4 linked regions of the Rhinolophus ferrumequinum genome follow. The protein of the gene in region 1 interacts with the protein of each later gene in a pairwise test. Links are inferred from orthologs where the notes say so. Each region holds a gene or a part of one and is shown in the gene's direction. Other genes may lie near its edges.

Region 1 (7,699 bases):
GGTAAAGTTTAATTTAGTCCTTTCTCCATTTTTGCTAGCAAGGTTGAACTGCACTGGCCTGCAATGGACAACGTAAATTACTGACATTGCAGAGTTCAGGCTTAAAATTGCAAGTCCTCATATGTAACAAAAGGCTACAGGCTAAGCTATCAAGGGTGAACAAGAATTAAACTCATTCCCCTGGTTTATGGAATTACAAGTGTCAAACAAAAACAAATTGCGGGAGGATGGGAAGCATGAAGTTTATTCTGGAGTGATGGCGGAACTGTTTTTAACTAGATAGAGGTGGTGGCTGCACAACACTACGAAAGTACTAATGTCAGTGAGTTGCTCACTTTAAAAATGGTTCTTCATCCAAAACCTAACAGTACCTTCCTTTTGCATTAACTGAAATAATGTCAACTGCTTAAAATACTGTCTGGCATCAGTTGGTTAGATCGTGGTGCTAATAACACCAAGGTTGCCAGTTCGATCCCCACACGTGCCACTGAGTTGTGCCCTCCTTAAAAAAAAAAAAAATAGTGCCTGCCACATAGTTGAGCCCTCAACAGATAGATGTAGGGGACCATCCCCACTATGGCTACCAGGCCATCTCCCACTTACCTCCCAAATACCCCTGGGAGGCTTTCATCAACAAGGGGCTCCTCCACATGGGGTACCCCACAACTCTTGTTGCAGCTGTCCAGCCCGTTTTGTTTGCGTGTCACCCGTTTTGGTGTGTGATGAGGGCCATGGGGCGCTGGCACCTTTAGCTATCCTTTGTTTTGCTATCTATGTAAGTAATTAAGGGTCTGAATCTAAAAGTGGGTCTTGCATCATTACCAGTTCAATCAGTCCCATCGTGACCTGGGCCGTGTACCAAGTGTTGTGTGCTTGACCATAAGTACTATCTGTTATTTCTATTGTCATTGTCTTTGGCTTACAACTGCCCTCTCCCAACTTCTTCTCTCAAAGACAAGACGCTCAGACCAGAAGTTATTTATTTTATTTCCACCACAACCCCCAAAAGGATCGCTCCCGCCCTCTCTCACCTAGATGCAGCCCCTGCCCCAACACCTTCACAAAACACTGATTTCCTCCCAGAGCTAAAGTGAACACCCACTCACCAACTATGGCCACACCCACTCTGCCCAGCTCCCCATCTGCCTCCAGAGCCACCAGCTCTTCAAACTTGCCTACCTTTTGGCTCCCTGCCCAAATGTAGTTTCCCAAGGTCAGCTCGCTTGCTTGTTCTGCTTATGTTATTATATGGGTGCCATTCTTAAAACCCTCTCTGACTTATTCCCTAGACGGCTCTCCTGTGCTCATTTACAGTCATTCTGCACAGCTTTCTGGCCTCACAGCCCCGTTCGAGAGCTGGTTTCCAAGCTCTCCCCTGCTCCCTGAACTCCCGGGGGCCTCAGTCTCTCAGCTGTCACTTGAAAAGTGTAGGTGTTGACTAAGGCCAAATGATCCATGATTCTGAGGAGAAGGGGAGCAACATGGACAAGAAATGGACAAGAAAGGAGACAAGGATAAAAGGAGAGAGAGAGAGAAGGGGGGGCTTTGGAAAGAAGCTAGAGGCAGAGGGATGATGGGGGGACCCTCCCATCTCAGCCCCAGAAACAGAAGTGAGCCAGAGCCGGAGACCAGTGCCCCCTACCGCCCGAAGCCCTGCCTGTCTCCTAGCTCTTGCGGGTCCTCTGGCTTCGAGCCTTGTACACTTCGATGAGCAGGTCCTTGACATATTGGATCTCCCGCTCCACAGACTCAGCCCTCTCCCTCAGCTCCCGGTTCCGTGCCTCCAGCCCCTGACACTCGCCCTCCAGGGCCTCACCCTCTGCCCGCTTCCTCTGTCTGTACCTCAAAGCAGCTGACTTGTTCTGGTCTCTCTTCTTTTGCTTGCGGTCCCCTCGAGTGATGGCAGGACTGGGGTAGGGGGCTGGGCGAGAGGTTTGAGGTAGAGGAGGGCGCTGCTGTGGTGGGGGCATGGGAGCCAAACCCGAATCCCCCTGCCCAGCCTCACTGCGGCAGTAGATGGCCAGCAAGTCTAGGGTGTCCAGGGCAGGGGGCTGGTGGAGGTCAAAGGTGGGGGGTAGGGGGACAGGGAGGGAGGGTGCCGCTTGTGGTGGTGGCTGTGGTGGTGGGGAGGATGGTGGGAGGAGTGGGGCATCAAGGAAGAAGTCTTCCATCTGCTCCAGCTCCTTCTTGAGGAGCGAGGCCATGGCTTCCAGGTCAGGGGAGGGTGGGGAAGGTGGGGGAAGGGCACCTGAGGGTAAGGGGGGCTCCAGAGGGAGAAGGGCTGTAAAGTCCACCCGTTCAGTCATCCAATCAGAGAAGCCATCACCTGGAGGATTGGAGGAAGACAACCAATGAACCAGTCAAACGTCTAACCAGTCAACTAACCAACCAACCAACTAACCAGTCAACCAACCAACAACCAGTGGACCAGCCAACCAATCAACTATCTGATTCAGTAACCAACCAATCAACCCTTTTCACCGACCAATCAATGAACTAGTCAACCAACCAATGACCAAAACAAAACAGTCAACCAACCATTTCTTCAACCATTCCAACATTCTCTTTACTGAGTAACCCACATCTGTGATTTGATTTACTTTCTAGTTTCTTCTTAAAACACAAACTCGATCACACATACACAATACACCCTGTTTCACCTTTAATTAATTATTGAAAACCCACTATATGACAAGCATTGGGGACACACTAAAGGAATAAAATAATCCGTCTCAGGGCTTCTGCATATGCTATTTTCTCCACCTAAACAGTTCTTCCCTTGGGTCTTTTCATAGCTCATTCCTTCCCATCCTTTAGGCTTCAGCCAAAACATTACCTACTTGGAGAGGGTTTCCTGGCTATGGACTTTAAACTAGGTCCACAATGTCATTTTGTAGCTAGAGTGTGAGCTCCAGGAGGGCAGGGATGTCAGTCTTGTTCCCAGCTATATCCCCGGCACCTAAAATAGTGCCTGGCATATTACAGGTGCTTAATAATTATTTATCAAATGAATGTATGAATGAATAAATTCTCCCTCCTTCTGTCTTGTGCCCCACACCACAGCTCCACACCACCTCCATTCTTCACCTGTCCTTACCTGCCAGGGGCTCTCCCCCCCCTGGAAGCCCGCCCTCCAGGGCTCCCCCAAGGACCTCATAGGGGCCCAGGGGGGCAGGGGCCAGGGGGAGTTTCCCATAGTCTAGGAGCCAGCTCAGCCCGCTAGCTGGGAGCAGGGCCCTGTCCAGCTCCAGCCCCAGGGTGGCCAGGAGTGACATGGCTGCAGCACAGGCGCTGGGAACCAATGGCAATGAAGGAAGCTGCACCAACAAGTGAAAGGAGGCTCTGGAGGTCGCTCAGTTGGCCGAAGACAGGCACCAAGGTGAAAGTGGAGGACCTACACGTGTGAGACAAAAGTGGGCAGGGTCATAGGCGAACCTCACTCACCGCCAAAGTCGCAGGGAAACCAAGTTCTACTCCCACATCCCGGGGGGCAGGGGGCGCTGAGGGGGGGGACCCCTCCCTTTCCCTTCCAACTGGGTTGGGACTATGCCTCGCCCTCAGAATTCTAAATCTGCCCTTTCCCCAAATCTGAGCCCCACCCACTCCCAAGGGGATTCTCTTTAGGCCCGACTTTATTTTCTTCAAAATTCCCGACCCAATCCTCCAATACAGAAACATAATGGTTTCCCAAGGGAATTATCTTAAGCCCTTCCCACCCACCCCATAATATTCCTTCAGTAAAAAAAACTCAGTCCCAGGGGAATTTTCTTCCAGCCACACTCCTTTCTCTAAAATACTTCCTTTAGGCCCCACCCCCTCCCTAGGTCCCATCTCAAATCAGTTCCCAGGGGAATTCGCCCTGCCCCACCCCTTCACCAATGTTATCTATTCAAATCCTGCAGGGACTACCGTTATTCCGCCCCCCAGCCCCGCCCCACTATCTTAGCTGCACCCCTCCCCCGCAGGCCCCTATTATTTCTCCAATCGAAACCCCACCCCTCATCTAACGGTTCGCTTAGCCCCGCCCCTTCGCATAATACTCTCCCTAGCCTTATCGTTCGTCAAGGCTGAGATCCTAGCTCCACCCCCTTGTCTTTACGCTCTGCCTTCTACCCAGTCAGTGTAAACTAGCACCCGCCCCAGCAGATGCCTGAATGAAAGGGAGAGACGCTATGCTGCGCGCCTAAGCGATGTGGAGCAGGCGACTAAGCAACGTGGACCAGGGAAGGTGGAGGTGGCCAGCAGAGAACAGCTCTCTACGCCAACCTTCCACACTTGGCTCTCTCGCCGAGGGCCAAATTTGGCGCAGCTCCACCACCAGAACGGTCCCATTGTTCTCACGTCTACGCGGGGGGGCGTCAGTGCGCATGTGCAGCCGCCTACTGCCAGCCCTTCGCACAATATGGGCTCTGGTGGGCTGACGCGCATGAGCAACAGCGCGAAGACAGACTCGTTCCGGAAGAAGGAAAAAAAAAACTCTCTGAGGGCTGGTGCGCAGGCGCAACCGTACGCAGGCCATCTATAAACGCCAACGCAAGAAAAAGACACCCTCCCCCACCATCGGGCCGAGTACGCATGCTCGGCCGCGCGCCCATGCTGGTTTTCCCTCTTCTGCGCCTGCGCGACCGTGATCCCTCACTTTCGTCTCCCCAACCTCCAAGCCTGGTGGTGAGGGCCGCGAGCTTCGAAACGGCGGGAAAGGCGGTTGGAGAGGGAGGGGTGAACGGTTACTCACTCCATGGCTGTGGAAAGGAGAGGCAGCGGCGGCCTCGGCTGAATAAAGAAGGCAGGAGCGAAGAGCGCAGGCGCGGTGAGCGCGGAGACGGGCGGGGGGCACGGAGGGTTCGCAGCTACAGAGCCATGGCCGGGGCTTCGCGGGCAAAGGCGGCTTCGCCGTAGTGTGAGGAGAGATCGTGATCTGAGGATGGGGAATGTGGTGGCCCCGGGGAGTGGGAACAGATATATCTCGGGCGGCGCAGCACGGGACCGCCCGGATCCTTCCGCGCCCCGCCTCCGCGCGGTCCAACCCGGAGGCGGGCCTGGCCCCCTCCTCTTGGGCATCCGGCCCCCTCCTCCTTTCGACCCCTGGGGTTTGGCCCTCCCTTCCCGGTGGCTCTACGGTTCATCCCCCTTCTGCTGGCTCTGGCCCTCCTGCTCTCTCGATCCTAGGCCTGATTTCCTCCTCCCTGAGACCCTCACTGGTGAATTTCTCATTTCCTTTCCCCTGCTTCATGAATTTCCGGCCGGCCACACGCTCATCTCTGCTTTCCCCAACTGCCTGCTCACGCTGAGAACGCTTTTTGTGGGTTAGAGTCCCGCGAGTCCCAGCCTAAGCTCCATTCTAATCACATACCTGCCATGCTGGTCTTGGGCAAATAACTTCTCTAGCCTCATAGATAGGGAACTATCTATAATATTAGAATAACCAACTCTACCTAATGGGGTTATTTGTGAGAATTAAGGAAGTCGATGCCTGTGAAGACCTAAGCACAAAGACCCGCTTATACGTGTCTGTTCAACCTATTTTATTATTAATAGGAACTCGGGGGCCCCAGTCTCACACCCCCACACACGCACTCCCCGCAAAAGCCTCAGACACTTGACCATCCAGTACCAGCTAACAGGTCGTTCTTTTGTCTCCGTTCCTCCAAGGTGTCAATTTCCAGCCATCCCCACCCTCCCCCATTCCAAGTAATGGCCGCTCAGCCCCATCCTGGTGTAGGGGTGCAGAGAATCTGGCATCATCGCCCCCACTCCATCCTTTTCTCCCTCCCCTGCCCACCTTCCCTCAATCCTTGGCCGCAGCATTCCTTTCAGGCCAGTTGTTTCATTCTTCTGGCCCTGCCCCTCTCCCTGACTTCCTGAGACGCCCCCCAGTGGATCAGTCTCCCAACCCTGCCAAGAATGGGGGGACTTCCACTTCCATTTACTAAAAGAGAGCGAGCTTCCTGGCCATCTCCTCCCTGTGCGCTGGGTCCTCTGCCAGCCCAAATGGGTGTGGGTCTTTTCTCTGCTGCAGAAACCTGTCTTTCCCACCCTGCATCCATCCACGTCAAGACATTACCCTGGAGTTCAACCTTCATCACTTCTGTGGCAGTTATGAGACTGAAGCAAGATCCAGAGAAGGTGGGGGAACCCTGATCTTGAGAGTTACGTGGGCAGTAAAGAGAAGCGGGCTTCTGCCTTCCCCCTGGTTGCATGCAGGAAGTCCTTGGCATCTGAGCGCTTTGCCTTAGGGCACTTACCGTCCTCTCTGCCAGTATTTGAGCACTTGCCCTATATTTCCTCGAGTCTGTAGAGGCTCCATTATTACCTAGGCAGCACAGAGTAGTGGTTAAGACATAGATTCTGGAGCCCCGTTATTTAGGTTCAAACCCTGACGCACCGCACTTACTAGCCTTGTGGTACTGGCAGTTTCCCTTAGAAAGAAGAGGCCATTAATGGTACCTGCTTTTTAGGGCTGTTATGAGGATTAAATGAGTTAATCCAGGTCAAGCGCTTAGACTAGTGCCTGGCACACACGAGGTGCTATACACATAAGGGGTGGTGATGGTGGTGGTTACTGAGGTGGGATATATTTTATCTCCACTGCTAAGCAGTTAGTGCTTTAAAACTGTGATTGGTCTTCCACCTTTTAAGTGGAACTTCAGGACCGATCTCTTCCTACTTGTCAGTATAGAGATTTGAGCAAGACCAGGCAGGGTTAGGGTAGACGATTGGACAGACTGCTGGTAGTCGGATGGCACAGGCGCGCGCGTGCGCACACACACACACACAGTTTTTCTGAGAAGACCTTCTAGGTTATGTGTGGGAAGTAGGTAGAGTTGTTTTTTTTTAAATAAACTATTTGGGAATAATTCTAGGTTTACAGAAAAATTGCAAAAAAGATAGTGTACAGTTTCCATATACTCCTCACCTAATTTTTTCCATTGTTTTCATCTTACGTTACTGTGATACACTTGTCATAGCTGAAAAACCAACATCTCATCTGTACACGTCTATTAACTAAACTTCAACTTTATTCTGATTTCACTGGTTGTTCCCTATAGTCCTTTTTTGTTCCAGGATCCTGTCCAGGTTGCCATATGACATTTGTCATTGTGTCTCCTGATCTGCAGTCGTTTCTCTGACTTTCCTTGTCTTTTATGATCTTGACAGTTTTGAGGAGTGCTGGTCAGATATTCTATGGAATATCCCTCAGTTTGGTTTTGTCTCAGAGACTGGGACTATCGGTTTTTGAGGGGACGGTCAGGTAGGGTATTTTTTAATAACCAGAAAGGAGCTTGCTCAGTATGGGAGTCGTGCTGCGGCTGTGTGAGGTGTATGCCGACTGAGAAGGCCGTGGGGCAGGGATCCTGGTTCCCTGTCCCAGCCCCCGTACCGCCTTCTCTCTCTAGCTGTCCTATTCCACCCAGTTCAACTCTGATGCCAACTGCCCCACCCAAGCAGCTTGACTCAGACCTGCTGGGTGGGGGCCAGTTCTCCAGACTCAGCTCTCTAGCCCTTCCTGGCATATTCTAATTTATGGGCGGTGGGTCATCAGTGGCTGCCTGTGAGCCTGAGCCCTCGCTCATGCCCACCCCTGACCCGGACCTGTGGCCCCTCCAGGACTCAAACGCCTCAGCCTCCCCCACCTTCGCAGAGTAACCCAGCCTTTCCTTTCCAACTCGAGCTGGGGCTGGAAGCGTGGGTGGGGCTG
Region 2 (8,270 bases), on another chromosome or scaffold:
CAATGCTAATGTCACTGAGTAGGAAAATTCCAGAATGGCAGTTATTTTCCCTCAGCCCATTGAAGATATTGTTCCATTTCCAGTGTCCACTGCTGCTTGGAGGGATCAGTCGCCAGTGCCATCACCACTCCTTTGTTGATTGTCTTTGTTTTCTCTACCTACTTGGAAGAGCTCCTCTTTATTATTTGGTTTTCTGCACTGCTGTGAATAGTTGTGCTTTGTTTTTTATTCATTTTGCCTGGAATTCATTAGGTTCCCTCCATCTGAGAACTTTCTTGAAACAATTCTGAAAATTTTCACTTATCTCATTGAATGTTTTCTTTTCCCCATTGTCCCTTGTCTCCTTCTGACACTCTGATTAGAAATATTTCAACCTCCTTACCCTAACCTTCGTGTGTCTTGAGTCCTGTTTGGCACTTAGCTGCGTTCTGGATAATGTCTTCAGAGCTATCTTTTTATTCAATAATTCTCTCTTTAGCCTAGCTTAATCCATTGTTGGACCCATCCACTGAGCTGTTAATTTGAATTGTATTATTCGTTTCTTCTGGTTTATTTTCTAATTTTCTACGTAAGTTTTATAATGTCTTAGTACTTGCTCCAGTTTGCAAGTTTATCTTTTAGTTACTAAACTACTTTAGTATGTGTATATTATATTCTCCTTCCTATAATTGCACAGCTAACCTCTTTGTGGGTCCAATTCCACTGTTTATTGTCGTGCTCACAATTCCATACAATTTGATCGGTAGAGTTCGTTGAAGTTACATTATTTTAGAGAGGATTTGAGCTTCCTGCTGCCAGATGGCTAAGCACATCACTGATCAGGGACCACTTTAAATTAAATTCTCCACTTAAGGTTTTCAAATGACACACAGACATGGGTAATACAGACAACAAACTGTCAGGCTAGCTGTGGCTACAAATTCAGGATCTTAAAATGTTTTATTACAGAAAATTTCAAACAAATACTAGACTACTTAGAAGAGTATAATAAATCCCCACGTACCCATTTCTCAGTTTCAACAAATAACTCGTGGCCAAACTTCCTTCATCTATACTTCCATCCTCCTTCTCCCTCCCATATTATTTCGAAGCCAATCAAAGACATCATAACAGGTCACTTGCAACTATTTCACTACGTACACTAGTTTTTAAAGCATAGAGGCCCTGATTTTTTCTGATTTAACTTTGTGTTAGGTCAGGTAACTAGAACCACAATGCCTACAAACACCCACAGTTCCTACAGGGAAGACAACCTCTCCCCCCACAAGAGATTACAGATCCTAATACGTATCACGTCTGGGCTGCAATGGCTCATCCATCCAATGAGGAAAAAAAAAGGTTGAAAGTCCTCTGAGAACTACAGCATTTATGATAACTCTCTAAAACACTGGCCATACTTAACATTAATCATTAACGCCCTCAGCGGAGTCTCAGAGGTAAAAATCCACCTTCTATTAGTTATAAGGAAGTTGGGATCTAATAAATATTTATTTACGGATGCATCCATCCAACAGCCTGGAATATCAAGGGTTGTAAAGTCATGATTTATGTATGAACAAGAGTCAACAGGATCTATATCTAGTCATCAGGTATAGTTCAGAGAAATTACCTTCTGTGAAATACTACCCTCATTTCCTGTTGGTCATATTATAAGATATACTGTTTTACCAAAGTATAAAACTCAATGTGATAGAGGAGCTGTCAAATTATCCTGTCCTTACATAAACATGTGGAAGTCTTCACAACAGGAACTTTTCTACTCCAACAAATGAGTAAGTTGGATGACTGAAACCCATAAAATAGTTTACATTTGAAATCTCAAAATCCTACAAGGACTAGCCAAAAATTGGTGGGATAACACAATGACAAAGTTATTTCTCCAAATTTTAAAAATGATTTTAATCATTCTAATGAAATTTTAACTGTTTCGCTTAAATGTAATTGGGTCCAGCCAGAAGGAAGAATGGTGCTAAAGACGAGAACTTCAAAAATTATCATGTTTAATTACTGCACTTATATTCCTTTCTAGTTATAAAGCTAACTCTTCATTTAAATAATGCTTCTACACACCTTGATCATATATGTTAGTGTATGAAACTCTTAGCTGAAACTAAATCACTATAAAACATAATTCAAACAGTACAATTTTCCAGTGACTTTAATCAAACAACCTTCTTGCCCATTAAGCAATAACAAAAAAAAACATGAATTTTACGAATATACATATAAAGAACACAATTCATGTGTTCATAAAAAGTTCTTCCCTACAGATTTTAGCTGTGACATCTATTTGCAAAGTAATTTACAGCTCTTTAATAAATAGTAAGATCTGCTTATGACATGTCCAGTCATTGATGGTGAACACTCAGTGAGTGTTGGCTGACACATACATGTTTGGATAAAAAGATAATATAGAGCTGTCCACACACACACTGTAAATTGCATGAAGTAGATTTAGTTCTCGCAATTTTTACTTTCAGAATATAACTGAAGCAAATTTTAATACAAAGCATTATTTTAAACCATACAGTTTATAAGGGAGAAATAATATAGTCTTACCTTATTTTGGAAGAAGGAAGTTTGCAAAAACAACAAATAAAAAACCTCAAAAGTGAAAAAGCCATTGGTTTTTAGTGGAAGAACCACAACAACAAAAATAGATCACTAAAACAAGTAAGTTCCAAATTCTTCAGAAAGAATGTGCAAGGATTTGGGATATGCTTTTGTTTAGGTTTTTTTTTTATTGATTTTTTTGTTGTTTGCTTACTTGCTTTCATCATATACAACTTCAATTCAATTAAAATATCAGGATGAGAATCAATGAAGTGTTTTCTGTGACTTTTCCAATCCCTTCAATTTAACTTAAGGAAACAATTTAAATGTTTCAGGGAAGGTGTGAATTTTTCGGCCAGGGGAGTTGAATGGGGGGAGCAAATAAATAAATTTCGTTCAGTTCAACAATGTGTTTCCGATCCCCACTGGTGAGAGCACACCCACAGCTCCCAATGTGTCTGGAGGCTGACATACCTGCAGTGGCTCCCAGCCCAACTCGGGAGTCTGGGGGTAGCCCTAAGGCACTGCACACACCTGCTTCCGACACATGGACTTGCTCGACTAGAGCTGTGAATATGAGGACCTGTGAGGAAGATCAGGCTTCTGAGGAAGCTTCTGCCAGTGAAATCCATTGGGGATTCCAGGAGGAAGCAGCTGTAGCTTCAGGATGGGTGGGGCAGGGTCTGTCTCATGGTGGGTGTTTAGGGGACCTTATCCAGGAAGAGAGACTTCTCCATGCACCAGGCCAGGTGCAAAGTTTATGCTATTTATTCTAAGTTTCTAGGGAACAAAACCCAAAGCCAAGCAGTGATTAAGAAATTTCAATAAATTATCTAGTCTTATAACATTAGAATTAGTGGGAGAAAAAAACTTCAAAATCATCTATCCACCACTTACCTAAAGTCACTTAATTCACTTTCTCAAAACTACATCTCCAAATGTATACATGTTTCGTTCTTGTTTTAAATATTCAAGGTGTATGTTTGTACAAAACATTTTAATAGTCATATAAAATGATTTCTAAACAAGGATAAGACTAGAAACAACAACAAAAAATACAACAGAGATTCTGAAGAGTGATTTATTTGTACATATCAACCACTATTCTTACGCAAATCAGAAGCACAACCATCATCTCACACCTGTTAGATTAGCTGTCATCAACAAGACATGAGATGACCAACGCTTGTGAAGATGTGAACACAGGAAACCCTGAGGCACTGCTGGTGGGAATGCAAACTGGTGCAACCACTATGGGAAACAGTGTGAAGGTGCCTCAGAAACTTAAAAATGGAACTACCATATGATCCAGCAATCCCACTTCTGGGTATTTATCCAAAAGAAATGAAATCACCATCTCAAAGAGATACTTGCACCCTCATGTTCATTGCAGCATTATTCACAATAGGCAAGATACAGAAATAATCTAAGTGTGTCCATCAACCGCCAACAGATGAATGGAGATAAAGATATTCTCAGGCATTATAGCTGAGAATATTATATATACAGAGGAAGCCCCAAAAAATGTATACACATTTTAAGAAAGGAAAACTGTAGTACAATTGTAATACTCAATATATACCGACAACAAAAGATGAACACAAGTCACATTTGACTTCTGCGATTACAAGAGGGGCTCAAAGTGGTTACCATCAGCGTCCAGACACTTCTGATTATGGCGAACTACTGCTTGAGCAACGTTGACTAAAGTGTCCACTTGTATACATTTTTTGGCACCCCCAGTTTTTATATATATATATATATATATATATATATATATATATATATATATATATATATATATATAAAATATACCACATATGTATAATGGAATATTATTCACCCATAAAAAAAGAAAGAAATCCTGCCATTTGCAACAACAGGGGTGGACCTAGAGGGCATTAAGCTAAGTGAAATAAGCCAAACAGAAAAAGACAAATACTGCATGGTATCCCTTATATGTAGAATCTCAAAAAGAAGAAGAAGAGAGGGGAGAGAGGGGGCGGAGGAGGAGGAAGAAGTCAAGCTCATGGAAACAAGGAGCAGAAAAGTCACTGCCAGGGCCTGGGAGTGGGTGATACAGGGAGAGGTTGGTAAGAGTACAAACTTTCAGTATGTCTGAGGATCTAATGTAAAAACATGATGACTATAGTTGATAACACTGTATTGTATAATTAAGATTTGCTAAGAGAATAGAACTTAAATGTTTTCACCAAAAAGAAAAAGAGATAAATTATAATAAAATTTTGTAACATTGTTCTCTATTGCCAGTGTGACTTACTATTATGTATCCACATCTGTCATGGAGATTGCAAATATTCTTCATGTGTATTAGGATGAAAAAAATCCGCCAAAACAGGTGCAAGGGCTAAGAGAATACCCTTTCTTGTTGCCTTTTGTTACCTCTGTTTATAAAAATAAATCTCCCCTGAGAAAAGCCTCTACGAAATGCCTCTAGTGGTAATTTCTGGAATGGAATTAAAGAGATTGCTGTACAAAGGCCAAGGAGGCGGGGGACCAAAGTGGACTGTGGTGTCAATCCTAAAGTGAGATGTCAGCAGAGGTGGGGTGTCTTGACTGTGAAGTCTATAAAAGCTCAGTTCCTCTATCACCGAGAGACAGACTCTGCTCCATCTGGGCTGAAGCTGCAGGAGCTCCCTCCTAGAATCCCCAAGGGATTTCACTCAAAGAAGTCTCAGAAGCCTGGGTCCCTCCTTGAAAAGCCCTACAGTCAGCATGAACGAGCATGTGTATAGGAAGAAAGTCTTACAGTACCAGAGGATGGCACCCAGCGTCTATGGGGGAGCTGGAGGCCACGGCACCCGCATCTCGGTCTCCAGTGACATGGTGAACTATGAGAATGACATCGCCAAAGGGAACCTGCTTTTTGGCAATGAGAAGATGGCCATGCAAAACCTGAATGATCGCCTAGCAAGCTACCTGGAGAAGGTGCGGTCCCTGGAGCAGGCCAATGTTACACTTGAAGGGCAGATCAAGAAGTGGTACGAAACCAACGCGCCCAGCATCAGTCGGGACTACAGCGCCTATTACAAACAAATCCAAGAGCTGCAAAATCAGGTGAGGGCTGAGGCCTGGGTTTTCTACTCCTCTGTCTAGCTTCGTGATGTACCAAGAGGGCATACACATTAGGTGGGTCTAAATGGATGCTGTAAAGCAAATTGGGCTGAAATGCTACATCTGTACAAATGGTATAGTCTATCATCTACTCTTAGTGCTGCAGCACCTGACTACATAGTAGGATGACTACAAATCATACTTTTGAAAGTTTTTAAATCTAATTATATAGAAAATATGAAGATTTTATCCTCCCGTCTTACAAACTGTTTTTCTGTCATAGTTTTACCAGATCAGGGCTAAGTGAACAGCAAACATTTTTTCTGAAAGGAGCTAAATTTTTTAAGTGATAATAAATCTTTCTTAGTTTTTCACCTAGTTCCCAACAACTTTTGGAACCCCAGGCAATTTTGAGTTTCCTCCTTTCATTTATGTAAAGGGTGTAAGACGAGTATTCGAATACTGTATCGTACATTCCAATGATGAAGTGAGTCAGGGTGGAAGTGGAGAAGGGTATGGGTCTTTATGTTACCTGGATTTTACAGTGTCCTGCGGAATCATCTGGTCGTCATCACCAAGCAGTGCAGAAACCACTTGTACAGTAATACGATGTTCTATTGCCCCCAGTTCAAATGTATTGCAATCGTATCAGAACCTGTTCCCACATCATCCAAGAAAGGTGCACTTCTCTGTTTTATCAATTGTGTGGAATGAAAGAAGACTTTGCTCCTAATTGAACATTTCAGATACAGCACAGACTATTTGCACTGCTTTAATATTCTTATCTGATCAAAATAAGTGTCGGCCCTTTCGTTTTCCTTTCTATTTTAACATGTGCTTTCCTTTAGAGAAAAGGCTACTTACTTACCAACAAGTCTCTTTTTTCCTGTGTTGTGTTAGACGTCTGGACGATTTGATTCAGACTCTACGGGGCGTTACTTTGGGGTTCCAGGAACTATGTGGATGTAGGAGGCAAAGGTGTTTAAATTGCCCTTTCTGCCAACAGGTCATTCTTCTCAGGCCCGCAAAAAACATACAAAATCAGCCAACCATTCTCCCCTAGCTGTCTCATGGTTCTTGTTTCTGAATCTACTTTGGATCATCCCAAATACACAGGCACAGCCATTTCTTCCCTTTAGCTGGGCAGACTCAGTATTTGAAGGAATGCAGCTTGCTCCAGGACTGGATCTGCTGAAAGAAACATGTCATTATAACATCTTCCACAAGCAGACTTCTGATCCATGTGCATCTTAAAGAATTCACCCACTAGGTCATGGCTTAAGCTCAGGGGCTTATCCTGATAGTCCCAGTGACTACCTCAATTCCCACCACAGATCGAGTGTCCATTCATCAGCCAATAGTTAGCAGACACTAACGAGGTGCTGGGACCACGCCGGGCACTGGGAAATAGGATGGTGAACATGATGTAACTTACGGGAAACAGGCATGGACGAAGGCAACATTTATCCCACACAGAGGGGGAAGTGCTAGCACGGACGGCCGTGTAGGATACTGAGAGCACCAGCAGTTCATCCCGCTGTTTTGAGGAAATCAGTGAAGGTCTGAAGGAATGATAAACTGAGCGGTGGAGGAAGAGTTCACCCAGTGAGAGAAGCTAAGAGGAACATTCTAGGCAGGAACAACATCAAAGGCAAGACACTCGATAAGGTTTGATGGTTCAAGGTGAATTAAATTCTCTTTTTGTGAAAAAAAGAGAAAGCGGACCAGACCCTGGGACTAGAGTTGCATTTTACAAGTCTTGATGTTAAATATCCATATCATTATTCTTCCTGTTTTCATGTGGCAATTATTGAAATAAAAACATCGTCTTTGATTGAATAGTAGTTGTACCTGAGGATCAACTCCTATCCAGTTGAAAATGTCATTCTTTCTCATGTGTTTTCCAGATTAAAGAAGCTCAACGGGAAAGAGCTAAATGTATCCTGCTAATTGATAATGCTAAACTGGCTGCTGAAGACTTCAGACTAAAGTAGGTCCTCTAACGCCATGGCAAAACTTCCTGGGAAGGAATATCTTTTAGTAGTCCTTCATGACATTCAGCTTTCTGTATCACTGTTGGTAAAGGAGCTACCACTAAATATTTCCAGAATCCTAGAAACTATCTGGTCTAGCCCAGCACTCACAGCTGGACTTCTCTCTCCCACAGTCTTAAGATTTGGTCACCCAGCGCATAACTAAACATCTCCAGTAACTACCACTGTTCTCATTGGTTAGCTCTAGTTGCTAGAACATTCTTTTTTAGTAACCTGGCACCTACCTTCTCACATACCAAGCCTAATGCTGCCCTCCAGAATAATAACAAAGCAATTTAAAACGCCCCTTCTTCCTAAGTGCCCTTCTGTTATCTAAAGAGACTCATTTGTCTACCTCAGTGATTCTGCATGTGAGTCACCCATGTTCCTTCAAGTGCAGACAGGTGTCTGACCAAAGTTCCAGGATGACTCTTAATGCTTTCTAGTTTGCCAGTGCTTTGCAATATAGTCTGACCAAGCAAAGAACTAGGACTATGATTAAAGCAGTTCAAATCGTGTTCACTCGCGTAGTCATATCACACTACACAGGATCAGAGTTGTTCCTCAGAAACCGCTTCTACACTTAGGTTTCTTCACCTGAACTTGTAC
Region 3 (7,267 bases), on another chromosome or scaffold:
GAGTGGCCAGGCCCACTGTCTGAGCACTTACTGCATTAATTATACAGTGCTAGAGTATCCCATACAATATTTCCCTTCACTAAGAAAAGAGAGGCTACAGTCTGATGCCCTTGGAATTCACTGGACTTATCAGGTATTATGTTATTTAGAACAACTAGCTTTATAGAAAAATGGAATGAACAATTGATGACTTGGCTATGCCAGGTTGGGTTCTGCTATGCCGAGTACAATATAGGTATTAAATCAACAATCAGTATACAATTGTTGGTCTTTTGTAGCCAGAACACATATAAAGAGGTAGAGATGGGTGTGATACCTTCCATGATTGTACCTAATGACTTTCTCCAAGAGTTTACTTCCTGCCTCTGATATCCTGGTTCTGCCGGCCAGGAGGTTTTAGCAGCTAGGGAGGAATGTTTCTAACCAGGGAACACAAAGATGATTCCACAGCATTGCAAGCTCCTCATAATATCAGAGGAACAGAAGAAAGGAGGTTACAGTGTAGGCTGATCTGATAAAGGCTATCAAGGGGAAATAGAGTTGCTACTACTTAATGAGGGCTGAGAGGTTCATGCATGAGTGAGACCCAAGGGTGTTCTATTAATCAGCATTCTTTAGATTGCTAGTGAAAGAAATTCCACTCAAGTTAGGATTGGTAAAATGAGGGCCTTATTGGAAGGTATACAAAGGCCTCAGGAAACAGGGACTGGAACCTCATGAGGACTTCTGTCTTTCGTCTCTACTTCTATGTGTCAACATCATTTTCTCCTACTAAAAACTGACTTCTATGTGCCAGAGAATGTGAATGTTACAGCTTACATCTTCCCTGCTTTGTCTTCCTTTAATTTTATTTCAGAAAGTCCCAGAGAAGGGCTCTGACTGACTCACCCGGAGTGGGGAGTTCTATCCCTGGACTCACCAGGCTCCCATTTAACCCACGTGGTTAGAGCTGGGAGAGACAGAGCCAAAGGAGAGGTGGGGTGGAGCTGTTCTGGGCCCACCAAACAATCAGATGACATTATGGCTGTGTGGCATGGGAAGATTTGCATAACTCCAGACCACTGAAGCTCAGAGCCTTTAGGATTGAGGGTTTGGATCACCTCAGAAGGAAGCAAACTCCGGCTGAAGGCAAGGGGAACTTGCAGTGGTTAAAGGAAAAGGGAAGACTAGTTAGGTCTTGGAACCTGATGTAGAAATAGGGCTGAGGGCTCCACCTGTATATTTGTAGCTGGGGGAGTGTCCAAAGTTTGAGATACTTTTGCTTTCTCCCTTTTTTATTTCCTTTTCTCTCTTAAAATAAGAGTTGTCATAATCATAAAACAAAAAGTTTTTTTCTTCTTCCACTCTCCTTATTTTTGTACATAGGATTTATTGGTGTGATTTAATGTGCCATTTAGTCTCTAAGTTGCAGAATGGTGAGTTGGAATCAAGTTGAAACTGGAAGAGGATGCCCTATCATGGAGATCACAGAGTTGAATTCTTCCTCATTGAAACAAACAAACAAAAACAAAACAAAAAAGCAGCAAAAGAGAGGGATGAGGGAAAGACAAGGTATTTTAAATGTATTATGGTTCAAAGATGACTCCATATTAGTTTAGTTTAATTTTGAAATGGGGTAGGTGAGGAAGGTGTAGCCAATTGTGTAGTTTGCTCAGTAAAATGGGGATGTGGAAGGGACCTTCTGGAAGCTCACCGTGCCTTGAAAGCTAAATTTGTCCCAGTCTTCTTTCTGAGGTTGCCTAAGTTAAGAACTTAATTTAAGAAGTCTTAGGTTCCCAAACACCAGCCATTGCTTTTTGGTGTTGATCATTAAAGTCAGCAATTACTGTTTGCTTTGCTTGCAAACTGGGCCCCCAAACCCTCAGTTCCCCCAAGGAGGAAGAAAGTGAGGGGATCAGGCTTCAGTAAGTGGAAACTGAGAAAAGCTCACTGCACTGGCACCAGAGAGGCACTCATCGCCCTGTGGGAAGCCACCAGGGCCTGGGTGCAAGACAGTAGCCCCATGCCTGACCCAGAGTAGATTTTCTTTCCTCTCTTAAAAACGTAGCTTTCATAAGTGGCTTTAATAACTAAGCATAACATGAATACAGAATTTCCAATTGTGACAGAGACTATGAAGAAAAGGAACAAAATGCCCAGGGATAATATAAAAGGGGGTCAGAGAAGGTTGATCTGAGAAGAGATCTGAAATATGAGAGCGGGGAGAGAATGTTAGGCAGAGGGAACAGTGTTTGTAAAAGCCGCCTGGCAGGCAGAAAGAAGCGTCAAGCCGGGTTGCAGAGATGGAGCGCAAAGGCTGAAGCCGGAGAGGCAGACGGGGCAGGATGATCAGACCTCTGGGGCTGCTGCCTTAAGGATCTGCCTTGCAACAGGTTTTTGGCAGGAGGGTGGTGACATGATCAGATTTTCATTTTGAAAATGTCAGTGTATCCACAGTGAGGCAAGCCGATCGGAGAGGCCCAGTGAAGGCAGTTAGGAAATAAAACTGTACCTGCAAGGCCTCGGTCAAGGCTGCGGAAGGCGAAGGAGGGGAGGCGGCTCCCGCGCTCCGGCCTCCGCGCGCGGCTCCGCGGGAAACCGAACCGGCCCACGTGGGCCGGGCGGCCCCGCCCAGAGCGCTGACGCCGCCCGGCTGGCTCCGCAGTCCGCAACTGGGGCTGGGTGCACCGCTCCGGAACCCCGCACCCCACGCCCGGGTCCCGCGTGACGCCCAGGCCGAGGGACCCCTCAGCCCCGAGGGACGAGTTCCCGTCGCGGGTCCCGCGGAACCAGAGCCAGCCGCGCTGGGCAGACGCCTCCAGGCGGTGAGTCCAGACACTGAGGTTCGGGGACGAGGAGGGAAACCGCAGCCTCGGCCCAGCTGCCCCGAACGGAGAGATTAGGAAAGGATGGTCTCTATCTTTTGTCTGCGGGGGTAGTCTTCCTCTTCCACTAGGCTAGGCAGGAAGGGAGGCCGCTTCCCCCTGTTTTTACAGAATCACCCTTCCCCATACCCACCCACCCCTCAACCCCGGCAGACTGCGGATTAGCTCGGAGAGAAGCCTGACCCCGGGTGTCTGGGTTTCCATTTTACCCTCTCTGAGAACCCCGCTATTCGTAGCACCACCCTCACTGCATCCCAGCCTCCTTCGTGGCCCCGCCCAAGTTTAGGAAAAAGAAAACATTTGGGCGGAGAAGATCTACTGGCACCTTGTTTAGCAAGGAGGGTGTTGGTAGGTTATGAAGGGACGGTCCCTACATCATTCCCCCAGGACTTCTGCCCACTACTGGATGTGGGAAGGGTCCCTGCCACTTCCACTATCCTCTCACTCTTACTGATCCCACATTTTTCTAATCCTAGTAGTAGATGGTCAGCAGAAACCTCGTGTCAATTCAAATACTAATTTTGGTAAAGCTGGTTGTTGGGGAGGAAAGAAGAGCATAGTATGCCCTCCCTCCAGGGCCTCAGGATGGAGCAAGCTGGAGGGACACAAGATGGTAGGCATGGAGGGAAGGGGACAAGGTCCAAGAGAGGCTTGTCTGTGCGTGTGTGGGTGGGTGAGTGGGCGTCCTCCTTGGGCAGAAGAGGGAACTGAACCTAGCTCTTCTAGCCCTGGGCAATCAGCAGTAGCGGCCTGCTCCTACTGTTGGCCCCCATCCATGAGTATAGATATCCCGCTCTCTCACCCCCATTTACTCACCCAGCAAGTGTGGACTGACACTAGCTTAATGCCAAGTTCCATGCTGTCTCCTAGAAATACGGTGGGAAATAGAGGAGTTCCACGTCTAGTCAGGCAGCCAGGTTTATGAACTGCTTTTACAAGAGACTTAAAAAAAAAATGAATAGACATTTACTGACCATAACTATGTGCCAGGGACGAGAAAAAAACATGAATAAGACAGCGTGTACCCAAGGCTGTGGGGACCCAAAGGGAGGCAGTGTTTATGTATATTGGGGCAGTGAGGAGAATTTCAGGATGGCTTCAGAGACGGGGGATATGAGAGCTGAGTTTTGAAGTACAAAAAGGAATTTGCTGGGTGGAGAAGGGAGGATCTTAGAGAGCTGGGGAGAGGAAAGGTATGGCAGGCTAAAGGACCCATGTGAGGAGAATGACGGTGCATTCTGAGACCTCTGAGCAATTTGTGCGGTGGGAGGGGCAGAGCATCTAGAGGCAAGTCTGGAAGGGTGAGCAGGGGCCGGATGAAGAACAGCCAGGCAGGCCGTGGAGAGATTTAGCAGAAGTTTAGGGAAGGCAGTGGGAGCTGTGACCAATCAAATTTTCATTTTTTTGTAATAAAGCTTTTTTTCTTTCTTTCTTTCTTTCTTTTTTTTTTTTTTTTAAAGATTTTATTGGGGAAGGGGAACAGGACTTTATTGGGGAACAGTGTGTACTTCCAGGTCTTTTTCCAAGTCAAGTTGTTGTCCTTTCAATCTTAGTTGTGGAGGGCGCAGCTCAGCTCCAGGTCCAGTTGCCATTGTTAGCTTCAGGGGGCACAGCCCACCATCCCTTGCAGGTTGTTATTAGCTGCAGGGGGCGCAGCCCACCATTCTTTGCGGGAGTCCAACCAGCAACCTTGTGGTTGAGAGGACGCGCTCCAACCGACTGAACCATCCTGGAGCTCAGCGGCAGCTCAGCTCAAGGTGCTGTGTTCAATCTTAGTTGCAGGGGGCGGAGCACACCATCCCTTGTGGGAGTCGAGGAATCAAACTGGCAACCTTGTGGTTGAGAGCCCACTGGCCCATGTGGGAATCGAACCAGCAGCCTTCGGCGTTAGGAGCACGGAGCTCCAAATGCCTCAGCCACCGGGCTGGCCCCTCAAATTTTCATTTTTAACTGCAGGCAGAAAGATCAGTGAAAAGGCTGTGGCATTCAGTAATCCAGGTAAGAAATGGCCTGAACCAAGTGAAAGTGAGGGGAGATGTATGTACATAAACACAGAGGTTTTTAAGAGGAAGAATTGTCAGTGTTTGGTGGCCAATGAGATGGCAGAAGAAAGCAGAGTGAGTCCAGGATGCTTTTAAGTTTCTGGTTGGAGTGACTGAATGCACAGTGAGGTCATTTTGCTAAGGACACTGAAGATGGTGAGCTGGTTTGGACGTGTAGAATTTGAGGAGTGGTTGGTTACAGAGTTGGGTATCAGTTGGATCTGGGCTGGAGACAGATCTGAGAGTCAACAGCACATGATGGTTGTTGAAGCTACAGCAGAGGATGAGGTCACCTGGGGGAGAAGTACATAGAATGAGAAGACAACATGCCTCGAGGGCTGAGGGAAAACCCTCTGCAGGAGACCGAGAAGTAACAGTCAGAGAGGGAGGAGGAAAACCACGAAGGGAGATGTTAGCAGAGACCAGAGAAAGGAACTGAGAAGGAGCAGCCAGGCTCCCGCTTGCTGCCTTGTCCCAGCAGCTAGGTTGCCTGGACTCAGGTATCCCACCCTGTCCTGCTCTGACTCATTCTTCTGCTTCCCCTCTACAGACCAAATGTTCGCCTTCCAGCCAGGGGTGGCTGAGGGGGGCCAGTTCCTGGGGGGCCCACCTTCTGGAGTATGTCAGCCTGAGTTCCAACCAGATAGCAACTCCAACTTCATGGCAAGTGCCAAGGATGCCAATGAGAATTGGAGTGGGATGCCAGGCCAAGTGGAGCCCATTCTGATGAAGAAATCCGCGTTGCCCTCTGATAACCAGTCCTTCCAGGCCCCTGGACTTCCTGAGGGGGAGGTCCGAAGCCCACCAGAAGGGGCAGAGATCCCCAGAGCTGAGCCTGAGAAGATGGGTGGTGCTGGCACAGTCAGCTCCCCTCTGGAGGACAATGGCTATGCCAGCAGCTCCCTGAGCATTGACAGCCCCAGCAGCAGCCCTGAGCCTGCCTGTGGGACCCCTCCAGGCCCTGGCCCTTCAGATCCCTTTCTGCCCTCGGTGGCCCAGGCTATGCAGAAGCTGCAGGCTCAAGAACGCTACAAAGAGCAGGAGAAGGAGAAGCACCACATGCACTTGGTGATGTACCGTCGCCTGGCTCTGCTCCAGTGGATCCGAGGTCTGCAGCACCAGTTGATTGACCAGCAGGCCCGCCTGCAGGAGAGCTTCGATACCATCCTAGATAACCGGAAGGAGCTTATCCGCTGTCTCCAACAGAGGGCAGCACCATCCAGACCCCAGGACCAGGGCTAAGAGCGTTCCTCCACGGGGTGCAAGGGGTATCTGTAAATACTTGCAGGCATGAATGTGGTTGTGCGCAAGTACATAATTATTAGCTGGTATGAGTGCAGCTAAGGATAAGTGAGTAGTATGTGCTAACATGTAGTGGATATGTGCAGGCATGTATGAATCCGCACCTGGGCACCAGCTTGCATGTGCGGTGTGTACACACGAGCTAACTTAATGTGCAGGCCTATGTAGGAGTGTGTCCATCTGTGTATGTGTAGCATGTATATAAGAGGGAGTAAACTTGTATATGCATAGACAAGTGTGGACAGGCACCCAGAAGTGTGTGTATACAAGTATGCATGAGTGAGGATGTACAATTGACCCTTGAATAACACAGGTTTGAACTGCATAGTCCCGCTTATGAGTATATGTGGATTTTTTCCAATAAATATGTATAGCTCTGTAAGTGTATTTTCTCTTATGATTTTCTGAATAGCATTTTTTCTTCTCTAGCTTACTTAATAGTACTGTGTTTCCCCGAAAATGCTAAGACCTAGCCAGACAATCAGCTCTAATGCATCTTTTGGAGCAAAAATCAATATAAGACCTGATCTTATTTTACTATAATATAAGACCGGATCTTTATAATATAATAATATAATATAATATTATAATATAATTAATATAATATAATACCGGGTCTTATATTAATTTTTGCTTCAAAAGACGCATTAGAGCTGATGGTCTGGTTAAGTCTTATTTTTGGGGAAACACAGTAAGGAAAATAGTAAGTATATGGTGCATATAACATACAAAATGTGTGTTAATCGACTTTGTGTTATCAGTAAGGCTTCCGGTCAATAGGCTATTTAGTAGTTAAATTTGAGGGGAGTCAAAAGTTATACACGGATTTTTGACTGTGTCAGGGGTCAGCAGCACTAAACCCTGTGTTGTTCAAGGGCCAACTGTATATGCAAAAGATGTGTGTGCCTATGAGCGAGCTTGAGTGTGCAGGCTTGTGGTGGGTGTATGTGAGGGAACCCTTGTGTGTGCAGGCCTATGGGTAGGGATACATGTGTGTAGGTGCAGGCATGGGAAGTGTAGATTAGGAATGTGTATTTGCAGGTAGACTTGTGAGCAAGA
Region 4 (8,126 bases), on another chromosome or scaffold:
AAGCAAGTTCTAGTTCGAATGGAAAACATAGCCTCTCAGGACTTACTGAGTCACATGTGTCACACCTACCTTGTACTCACTTTGTATCTTGTTGAATTCCCACACATCATAGGTCCACCAGAATTCTATGCTCGTGGGGCATCACAAATGCCATCTGTAATTGGGGTGACAAGGAAGGTTGACACCTAATTGTGTATATCTCCTTTGCTTGCTCAGGCATTTGCTTCAATGCCCCATTGGACTCCATTTACAAAACCCAAGTTCAAAAGTAAAATTATTAAGAATTTCAAGGTGGCAACAGCAGAACGTAGGGCCTTTCTGAGTGTGGGGCCCTGTGTGACCGCACAGGTCATATGCCCATGAAGCCAACCCTGGTGCTTCATGTACAGGAGCCAAATCATAATTTACTTAACCAGTCTGCTAATGAAGTGTATTTGTTTCATTTTCTTCATCTTTTGCTATTAGAAACAATGTTTGTTGAAAAAACAAACAAACCATGTATATATAGACTATCTCAAACTTTGGAAGTAGGGAAAATATTTATTATACTTTTTTCATTTTATTTAACGTGTTCTGATATAATCTTAACTATATTCCCTGGTTGAGATTCAAGGCTTCTTCCTCATGAGCAACTCTACGATAATAACGAAATAAACAGCGCCATATTTCCAGACTTTTTAGAGAATATATCAGTAAGATAAATTCTAGAGCATAAAGTAGTGCCTGCCACATTGTTGTTGCTCAATAAATATTTAGGGAATGAATGAATACATTTCTAGAGATGGAATTGCTGAAATAAAAGGGTATTTGCAGTTATAATTTTGATGGCTATTGCCTAGTTGCCCTCTGTAGATATTGGAACAACTAATATATCCCCCCCAAAAAAAGGCTATTTCCCCTCTCCATTGCCAACACAATGTGTTAGCAAACGTTATCGTCATGACCTGTTAGATGAAAACAGTATCTCAGTGGAGATTTAAATGCTTGTCTTTTAGTGAGTTGAGCATCTTTTCATTCATTTACCAGCCATTCCTATGTTCTTTCTCGTAAAATTTCTGTAGTATCTTTTGTCCATTTTTCCAGAGAGATGCTATTTTTCTAAAAAATAATATTTTCATTGTGAAGTATCCATACAGAAAAATATACAAAAGTTTTTGTATGTTTTGCTAAACAGTTATAGAGCAAATACCTGTGTACCCATCACCTGATCAAAAAGTAGAACACTGAAAGGAAAAGGAATTCTGGATTGCCTTAGGAACTCTGGAACTGCCTGTTCCTAAGAAAAACCTCCACCCTCCACACTCAATCAAACAACACTCCCTCTGCCCCCGTTAGCCAGCCTGACTTTCATTATTGTGTTCATTTCCTTCCTTTTCTTTATAATTATACCACCTATCTATGCATCCCTATGCAATATAGTTCAGTTTTGCCTGCTTTTAAACTTTATATAAATGGAATCATACTTTGTATATTTTTTTGTATCTTGCTTTTTTGTGTGTGTTTAATATTACCTTTGTGAATATTTATTCATATTGTTGAACATAACCATAGTTTATTAATTTTCGTTGTCTGAATATACCACAATTTAACCATTTTATGCTTGATAAACATTTGGGAGGTTTCCAGTGTGGGGTGCTGAGGAACAAAGCTGCTATGAATATTCTTGTACAGTGATCCTGACATTTACAATTCTGCATTTCTTTATAATACATATAATACTGTGACTGCTGGGACACAGTATACATAGCTTCAATTTTATTAGATTTTATCAGAGTCTTTTTCTAAAATGGCTGTGCCAGTTTACACTCCCACCAGCAGGGTAAGGATGAAGATGGCTGGTATTTATTTATTGATTTGTAAGAGGTCTTTATAGACAGTATCATAGAAATTAGCCCTTTGTAATAGGAGTAGCAAATTGTTCCCCCCCCAAGTTTAGTCTCTTTAAAAAGGCACTGATGTTCTTCCAACCCCCCCTAGAGGAATGAAAATGTAACTGGAAGAAGTGGAGTATTCTAATTTTGAAGCATTTAAATGAAAAAATGTTCTGGGTTAACCACTTTATCACTCTTAATGTGCAATCGTATATGTCATCCGTACAAATAATCATACCGGAAATTTTTATGGAATGCTCTGGAATACAAGATGTCAATATAATAATAATGATAGTTAAAAACTGTTGACCTTGTATTAGGCACTGTTTTAAATCCATTATATATATTAACTAATTTAATCCTTACAATAACCCTAGGAGGTGGGTACTATATTTTGCTCCATTTTACAGATACATGAAATAAGGAGCTGGATTAAAGATGTTTTCTAGGGCATATTTAAGCAAAATTAATAAACTCAGAAAAGATTCTTTCTTAACTAATAAAGATGTTTTCTTTTTATAATTTCTTTTTCCTCTTGGGAATGAATGATACGCCATCTGGGTTTCTTTTCCCCATCTCAGATCTGCAATATACCCCATAGCTTTCTCTTTTTTCTTTGAAGAAAGACAAAATGTATATATCGTTCTTCCAATCTTTACTCACAATTCCTTGTTCTTTGTGTCACAGGGACGTCAGAAATCTGCAGGTAGCACTAGGAACCAGAGAGTGTTTGGAGCAAGTGGAAAACGGAAAGAGAGAGACGGAGATAAGGGGTGAAGGACAGGGCCACAAGCCTGGCATGGGTGTGTGAAGGGTGGGAAGGATGCTTTCTTTATGGTGGGGTTTCTTAACCTGCAGTCCACAGATTAAGAAATCCATGAATTTAGATCAGGGAAAGTGATGTGCCTTTATTTTTGCTAAAATGTTAACAGAAAACTAGCATTTCCTTCAGTTATGAATGGAGACGACAAACCAAGTCGTATTAGCAGTGTCTGTGATTTTGTCACCGGTAGAAATCACAAATATTTTCCTAATAATATGACAGCTGTCACAGCGATCTTGAAATATTATTTATGCTCATTTACTACCTGAAAATTATGGTGGTCATTAGGTCTGCCATTAGATCTTATTATTTAATACATTAATATAAAGCCCAGATATTACTATATCACACCTTTCAAAATATTTTGAAAATTGTATTTTAATGTCATTGCTTTCCTTTAAATTCCTCTGTATGTTGATTACACATAAAAAGTATTCTGAGAAGAGGTCCATATGTTTCACCAGACTGCCAAAGGGTCCGTGGTGTGAAAAAGTTAAGAACTCTGCTTTATGGATATTTTGACTTTCATTCTTATTGAATGAGCCTTTAGAGAGTCCCAGAAATGAATCTCAAGACCGGTGAGGCTGTCATAGTTTTATTATTCTATTTTTCCAGAGACACTTCCCCCCATAACTTTCATGCCTCTTCAATATTCTGTTTTTCTTACCTCACTGCCCCTCTTTCTGTTCTTTTCATTATCCTGTGGGTGCCTTTTTACACTTCTATGGGTAGTTTATCCTTCAGCATATCATCAATCAACATATTTAGGTAGAGAACTCCAAACCTTCCCTAGTCCAGATTGTCCACCCTCTCCCAAATTCCGTATTTCCAGTTGCCTCTGGGACACCTCCACTTAGTTTTACCACTACTGTTTGGAACTGAACATATTAAAAACTAAGATTTCTCCCAAAATTTGCATGCTGTCCCACTTTGCCTGGATGACCATCTTGTCTGTCCCCCTGGTTTTCTGACCTTAGATTTATTTTAAAATTTAAATAAATTACTTAAACAAAACAAAACAAAACCCTGGAATCTTTGTAAATGGCACAAAAATCAAAAGATACAAAAAGATGTACAATGAAATGTAAGTCTTGCTTCCACCTGGTCCCCTAGGCACTCAGTTATCAGCCCAGGTGGAAAGCACTTTGAGTCATTTTGATTCCTTATTATATTGGTTATATCTCAAGTCCTTCCCGTTTGTGAGATGTGTGCCCTTTCCTCTCCAGGCTCTTGTGACCTTATATCTGGTTGACTTTATACATATATGTATGTGTATATTTTATATTCATATATAAAATCTCTCCTATGGCCTTCCGGCCTCGAGTTTTCATCACGTCGCTTCCTGGATGAAGAACCTACAGGGGTGAGGGGCCGGGGTTGGGGGTGATGGAGAAGAGGATCCAAAGGGGACTTAGGTAGGGGGTTCGGAGTGGCTGACTGGTGGGAAGCTCTGCCAGGATTCCTATTTCTATCTTTCCCACCGCGGGCCCCCTTCCAGTCGCCTTGTCCAAATGTCTCTCATTTCCAAGAGCCAAGACAGAGACAGCGAGATACAGAGACAGAGACGCCGAGGCACCAGCATCCCTCTCCCCTCCTGTCCCGCCCCACCGCTCTGACGGACACCCGCCATTAGCCAATGGCGCTCACGATGTGCCCCGGAAGGACCAATGAGAGACAGAGGAGGGCAGAAGATTCCCCGCCTCCACTTCTAGGCTTGGTTGAGCCGTGCAGGTAGGTCCGGGGCCGGGGGAGCAGCCGTTGGCACTGGTGCCGCGGGGGTAGGGGGCACGAGTCGTTAGGGGTGATGGTGGGAAAGGGGATGTGGTCCTATCCGCGGGAGTTTGAGGGGGTGGCCCAGGCGGGAGGCGGGGGGCCGGCGGGCCCGGGGAGCGGGCGCCGCCGAGGGCCCTGGAAGCGGCTGGACTTGGGGGAGCGGGGACGCGTGTGTGAGGCACAGGGACCCCCGCCCCGCGCCCACTCGCAGGCCTGGGCCGCGGGCTGCCGGCCGAGGGGCTGGGGGCCTGGTGCCCGGGGGCGGACCGGGGCTGGGCCTGGGGCCGGGGGCGCCGAGCAGAGCCCGGGGCGCCAGGCCGAGCCGAGGTGGGACGGACCGACGCGGAGAGGAAGGGAAGCTGCATCCCGCGGGCCGCCCCTCCTGAAGCGAGCCGGGGCAACGGCCGCAGGCTCCCCTGCCCGGAGCCCACTTCCCCATTCGCCCCCTCCCTGACAATGGGGATGGGACAGAAGGAGTCGCCCCACTGCGGGAAGCTGGCGGGGGGTGTAGGTTTGGGACTAGGGTCCAAGGTGGGGGGAGGGGTGAGAACTCGGGCTCTCTCCCCTTTCTCTTCTTCCCATGTCTTTTGCGGTGGGGATCATGGAGGGTCTATTAAATCCTCCTGAGACTTGGGTCAAGAGTCAAACTCCCCCGTCCCCCCCCAAAAAAAATCCGATGAGCGGTAAGGAAAGTGATGCCAAGTCTTCGAAGCCCAAGTGACAAACGCATAGCAGGAACAAATCTACTCCAGAGGTTTTTATTTAAAATTTTTTTTTCCAAAATGAGGGTATTGTAATTTTTGATTTTTTGAAATTTATTTTACAGAGGTGGGTGCTGTTATTCTTGTCCCTACTCGGGCAAGCCTCCATTTTAAGCGAAGCAGTAACTGGTTAAGCTGGAATTTTCATTCAGGCCTAGGACTTGAACAAGGTTCCTAGGAGAGGTCATTTAATCCATCCTCCTGCCTCCAGGCAAACTTGCCTCTCTCCTTCCTCAAAATTAAGTTGTTTGGTCTGCTTTTAACGATCTCTAGAGAAGAAGGCTCTTTTATTTGCTTGTAGCACTTCAGTCAAGAATGGATTTTATTTTTTATGTAGATAGGTCCTGAAACTTAATAAAATTTAGGACAGTGAGAATGATCAGAGAGGTTTTTATTAAATAAAATTAAATGTGACAAGGGTCTTTTTTAGATGGTCCGTTAAATCACTTTTCAGTAGTGTTTATGAAGTACCCTGAAGAATCATTTTTCTACCTGGGATTTTGGTTTTCTAACTATTTGATAAGCAATTTTATATTATAGAAAACATGTATTACACAGTTAATTCACTTTTTATGTAAACTATATTTCTACATGATATGGATATACACATACATACATTTGCCTCTTTCTAAAGGGGACTGTGTTTTGTACATCTTTTTAGGATGGTGAAGCAAATAGTACTTCAAATCTCTGTCCAGATACTCAAACTATTTGCTTATTCTTGATTATTTTTTAGTCTAAATGAAAGTCCTCTCTTTCAGATACCTTCTTGAAACAAAAAAATTTCCTACCTGCTCATACTTGGTGACTGAGGGATTACTAAGACTCCCTGCTTGCTCATTTCTGAGAATTGTCTGAACTATTCCTGACACTATGAATGCTATGTGGATGCCTCCTAAGGTAAGATGTGTTATTTTTTTTTTTCAATTAAAGGCCTCATTTTATTTTTCTTTAGAATTGAGAATATTCTCGAATTTGCAATTCTTCAACCTATTACCTGACCCTCCTTTCCCCTCAAAAACTACTCTTATGGTTGCTTCCTAGGACTCGTTGGTTACTCTTTACTTTGTATTGCTACTGTTCTTAATTGTTGGTGTTAAAATATGAATGAAGTTCTCAAGTTAACTTTCATTATAATGATGTGTTAATTTTCTAACTTTAAATTATGACAACCCACATAGCTGTAAAATTATCCTATCTCAGTAGGATGGATTGGCACTTCAGCCATCCAGGTCCATTTTCAACAGGTAGTCATAGGTAGTAGGGTGTGTCCCACTTGCAAATCTGTAGCTGATTCATGAATTACAAGTGATGTGTCATTAACCATTTGTTTACTCTGAAACTTCATGTAGAATTTTCTGAGGCCTGTTGGTTTGCGTGTACGACTCCACTGGAGAGTCCTGCTGCTTCCTAGTCATTTGCATAGGAATTAACACTTTTTCTGCACAGGTAGCGCTTTGTGCCAAGTTTCATTTCACAGGATAAACCTCTGTTGGGCAATGTGGGCTGATGATCTTTAGATGAAAAAGCTCTTATTAATGTGGTTCTCAAGTCCCTTCACTCCTTCCAATTTCTTGTACATAGATGGCCAAAGGACACTTCGTTTGTACTAAGTAAAGGGCAAAGCTTAAGACATTTGTAGGGAGGAAAATGAGAGGAAGGATGGACAGAGAAAGATGAGGGGTGATGGAAGCCCTCACCAGTTTCGCCAGGTGGCTCAGGTTGCCTTCCTTTGGAGCTAGATATTAGTGTATTTAAGACCGTTGTGTGGTCATCTGCCCTGTGGAATGCCAATTTAATGCAACGAATAAATCAGAATAATGTAACCTAAATATTTGGACTGTTGGAAATCTTTAGGTAAATGTAGACTGAGTTCTCTTCTTAGTTTATATTCCAGCTGTTGTTGTTGCTTACATTATGTGTAAAAGAAGTCAAAGTGATAGTTTACCAGCCATTCTCCGTGTAGAGTTGGAGGGGTTGTATGGGGAACCCACCCAGAAGTCCTGAACACTTAGGAATTGGAAAACCTTATATAAGAGTGTTTCTCTTTGGTACCAAGTGTTTAGCGCCAGGACCTGGTGACCTCTGTTATCTTTAGGAAGCAGGCAAGGGGATATCAGCAGGCCCTAGGTCCCCAGAAACCCAAGGAAATTAGGATCCATATATTGAATTTTGTTTTACCATTACCCTGGTTTTAACTAATGTATTAGGTACATAGAGCCTCCTTCTTAAGATATATATGATGTTTAAGATTTTACCAGTAAATCTCTGAACTTGGGGTGTTATGTGGTTGACTGTTGAACAACCCCAGGGATCAGGGGTGCCGACCCCCCGCCCCCACACACACACAGTCAAAAATAAGGAATAACTTTTGACTCCCCCAAAACTTAACTTCTAATAGCTTACTGTTGACCGGAAGCTCAACCAATAACATAAACAGTTGGTTATCACATGTTATGATACATGTATTCTTAGAGTATGTTATACTGTATTCTTAGAATAAAGTAAGCTAGAGAAGAAAATTTATTAAGAAAATCTTAAGGAAGAGAAATGCGTTTACTGTATTGAAAAAAATCCGCACAGTTCAAACTCATTGTTCAAAGGTCAACTATAGTTCCACAATAACCCCTGAAGTTGTACCAAAGACCTCTGGGATGGCAGGAGTACAGAGCTTCCTACTATATGAGTTACCTACCACCTGTTAACTACTTAAGAATGTAGTTATGTGGCTGCCTTAATTTTATGTTTCCTACCAGTTCTTTGATCAGTGGAAGATCTCTTCTGAATCTGAGCAGATTTTTTATTTGCTAACATTTTCCTCCTCCTTTTACTACTTAGAAAAACTTATAGTGTTTGATTAGGACAGGGCGGGGAAAAGGCACTTTTTTCGGGGAAGAG

What was found.
Region 2: the proteins of NUP62 (region 1) and KRT20 interact in binary tests that used the Homo sapiens proteins (3 or more experiments, as listed by UniProt). The two-hybrid records come from large-scale screens. The link is inferred for Rhinolophus ferrumequinum from reciprocal best matches to the Homo sapiens genes NUP62 and KRT20.
Region 3: the proteins of NUP62 (region 1) and C9H1orf216 interact in binary tests that used the Homo sapiens proteins (3 or more experiments, as listed by UniProt). The two-hybrid records come from large-scale screens. The link is inferred for Rhinolophus ferrumequinum from reciprocal best matches to the Homo sapiens genes NUP62 and C1orf216.
Region 4: the proteins of NUP62 (region 1) and KANSL1 interact in binary tests that used the Homo sapiens proteins (3 or more experiments, as listed by UniProt). The two-hybrid records come from large-scale screens. The link is inferred for Rhinolophus ferrumequinum from reciprocal best matches to the Homo sapiens genes NUP62 and KANSL1.

What each region holds. Positions count from the first base shown.
Region 1 is NC_046298.1:44,951,435-44,959,133, reverse strand, and holds the start of NUP62 (nuclear pore glycoprotein p62), read left to right. Parts: upstream 1-4,675; 5' UTR 4,676-4,810; exon of another isoform or gene 4,811-4,872; intron 4,873-7,699. Other genes in the region: ATF5 (cyclic AMP-dependent transcription factor ATF-5), read right to left, coding at 1,665-2,326, 3,098-3,275. UniProt on the Homo sapiens protein: Essential component of the nuclear pore complex. The N-terminal is probably involved in nucleocytoplasmic transport.
Region 2 is NC_046304.1:37,140,283-37,148,552, reverse strand, and holds the start of KRT20 (keratin, type I cytoskeletal 20), read left to right. Parts: upstream 1-5,161; 5' UTR 5,162-5,289; coding exon 5,290-5,631; intron 5,632-7,535; coding exon 7,536-7,618; intron 7,619-8,270. UniProt on the Homo sapiens protein: Plays a significant role in maintaining keratin filament organization in intestinal epithelia. When phosphorylated, plays a role in the secretion of mucin in the small intestine.
Region 3 is NC_046292.1:24,782,290-24,789,556, reverse strand, and holds C9H1orf216 (UPF0500 protein C1orf216 homolog), read left to right. Parts: upstream 1-4,706; 5' UTR 4,707-4,771; coding exon 4,772-4,862; intron 4,863-5,456; coding exon 5,457-6,148; 3' UTR 6,149-6,620; downstream 6,621-7,267.
Region 4 is NC_046304.1:41,155,950-41,164,075, reverse strand, and holds the start of KANSL1 (KAT8 regulatory NSL complex subunit 1), read left to right. Parts: upstream 1-5,056; 5' UTR 5,057-5,221; intron 5,222-5,854; exon of another isoform or gene 5,855-5,989; 5' UTR 5,990-6,128; intron 6,129-8,126. UniProt on the Homo sapiens protein: Non-catalytic component of the NSL histone acetyltransferase complex, a multiprotein complex that mediates histone H4 acetylation at 'Lys-5'- and 'Lys-8' (H4K5ac and H4K8ac) at transcription start sites and promotes transcription initiation.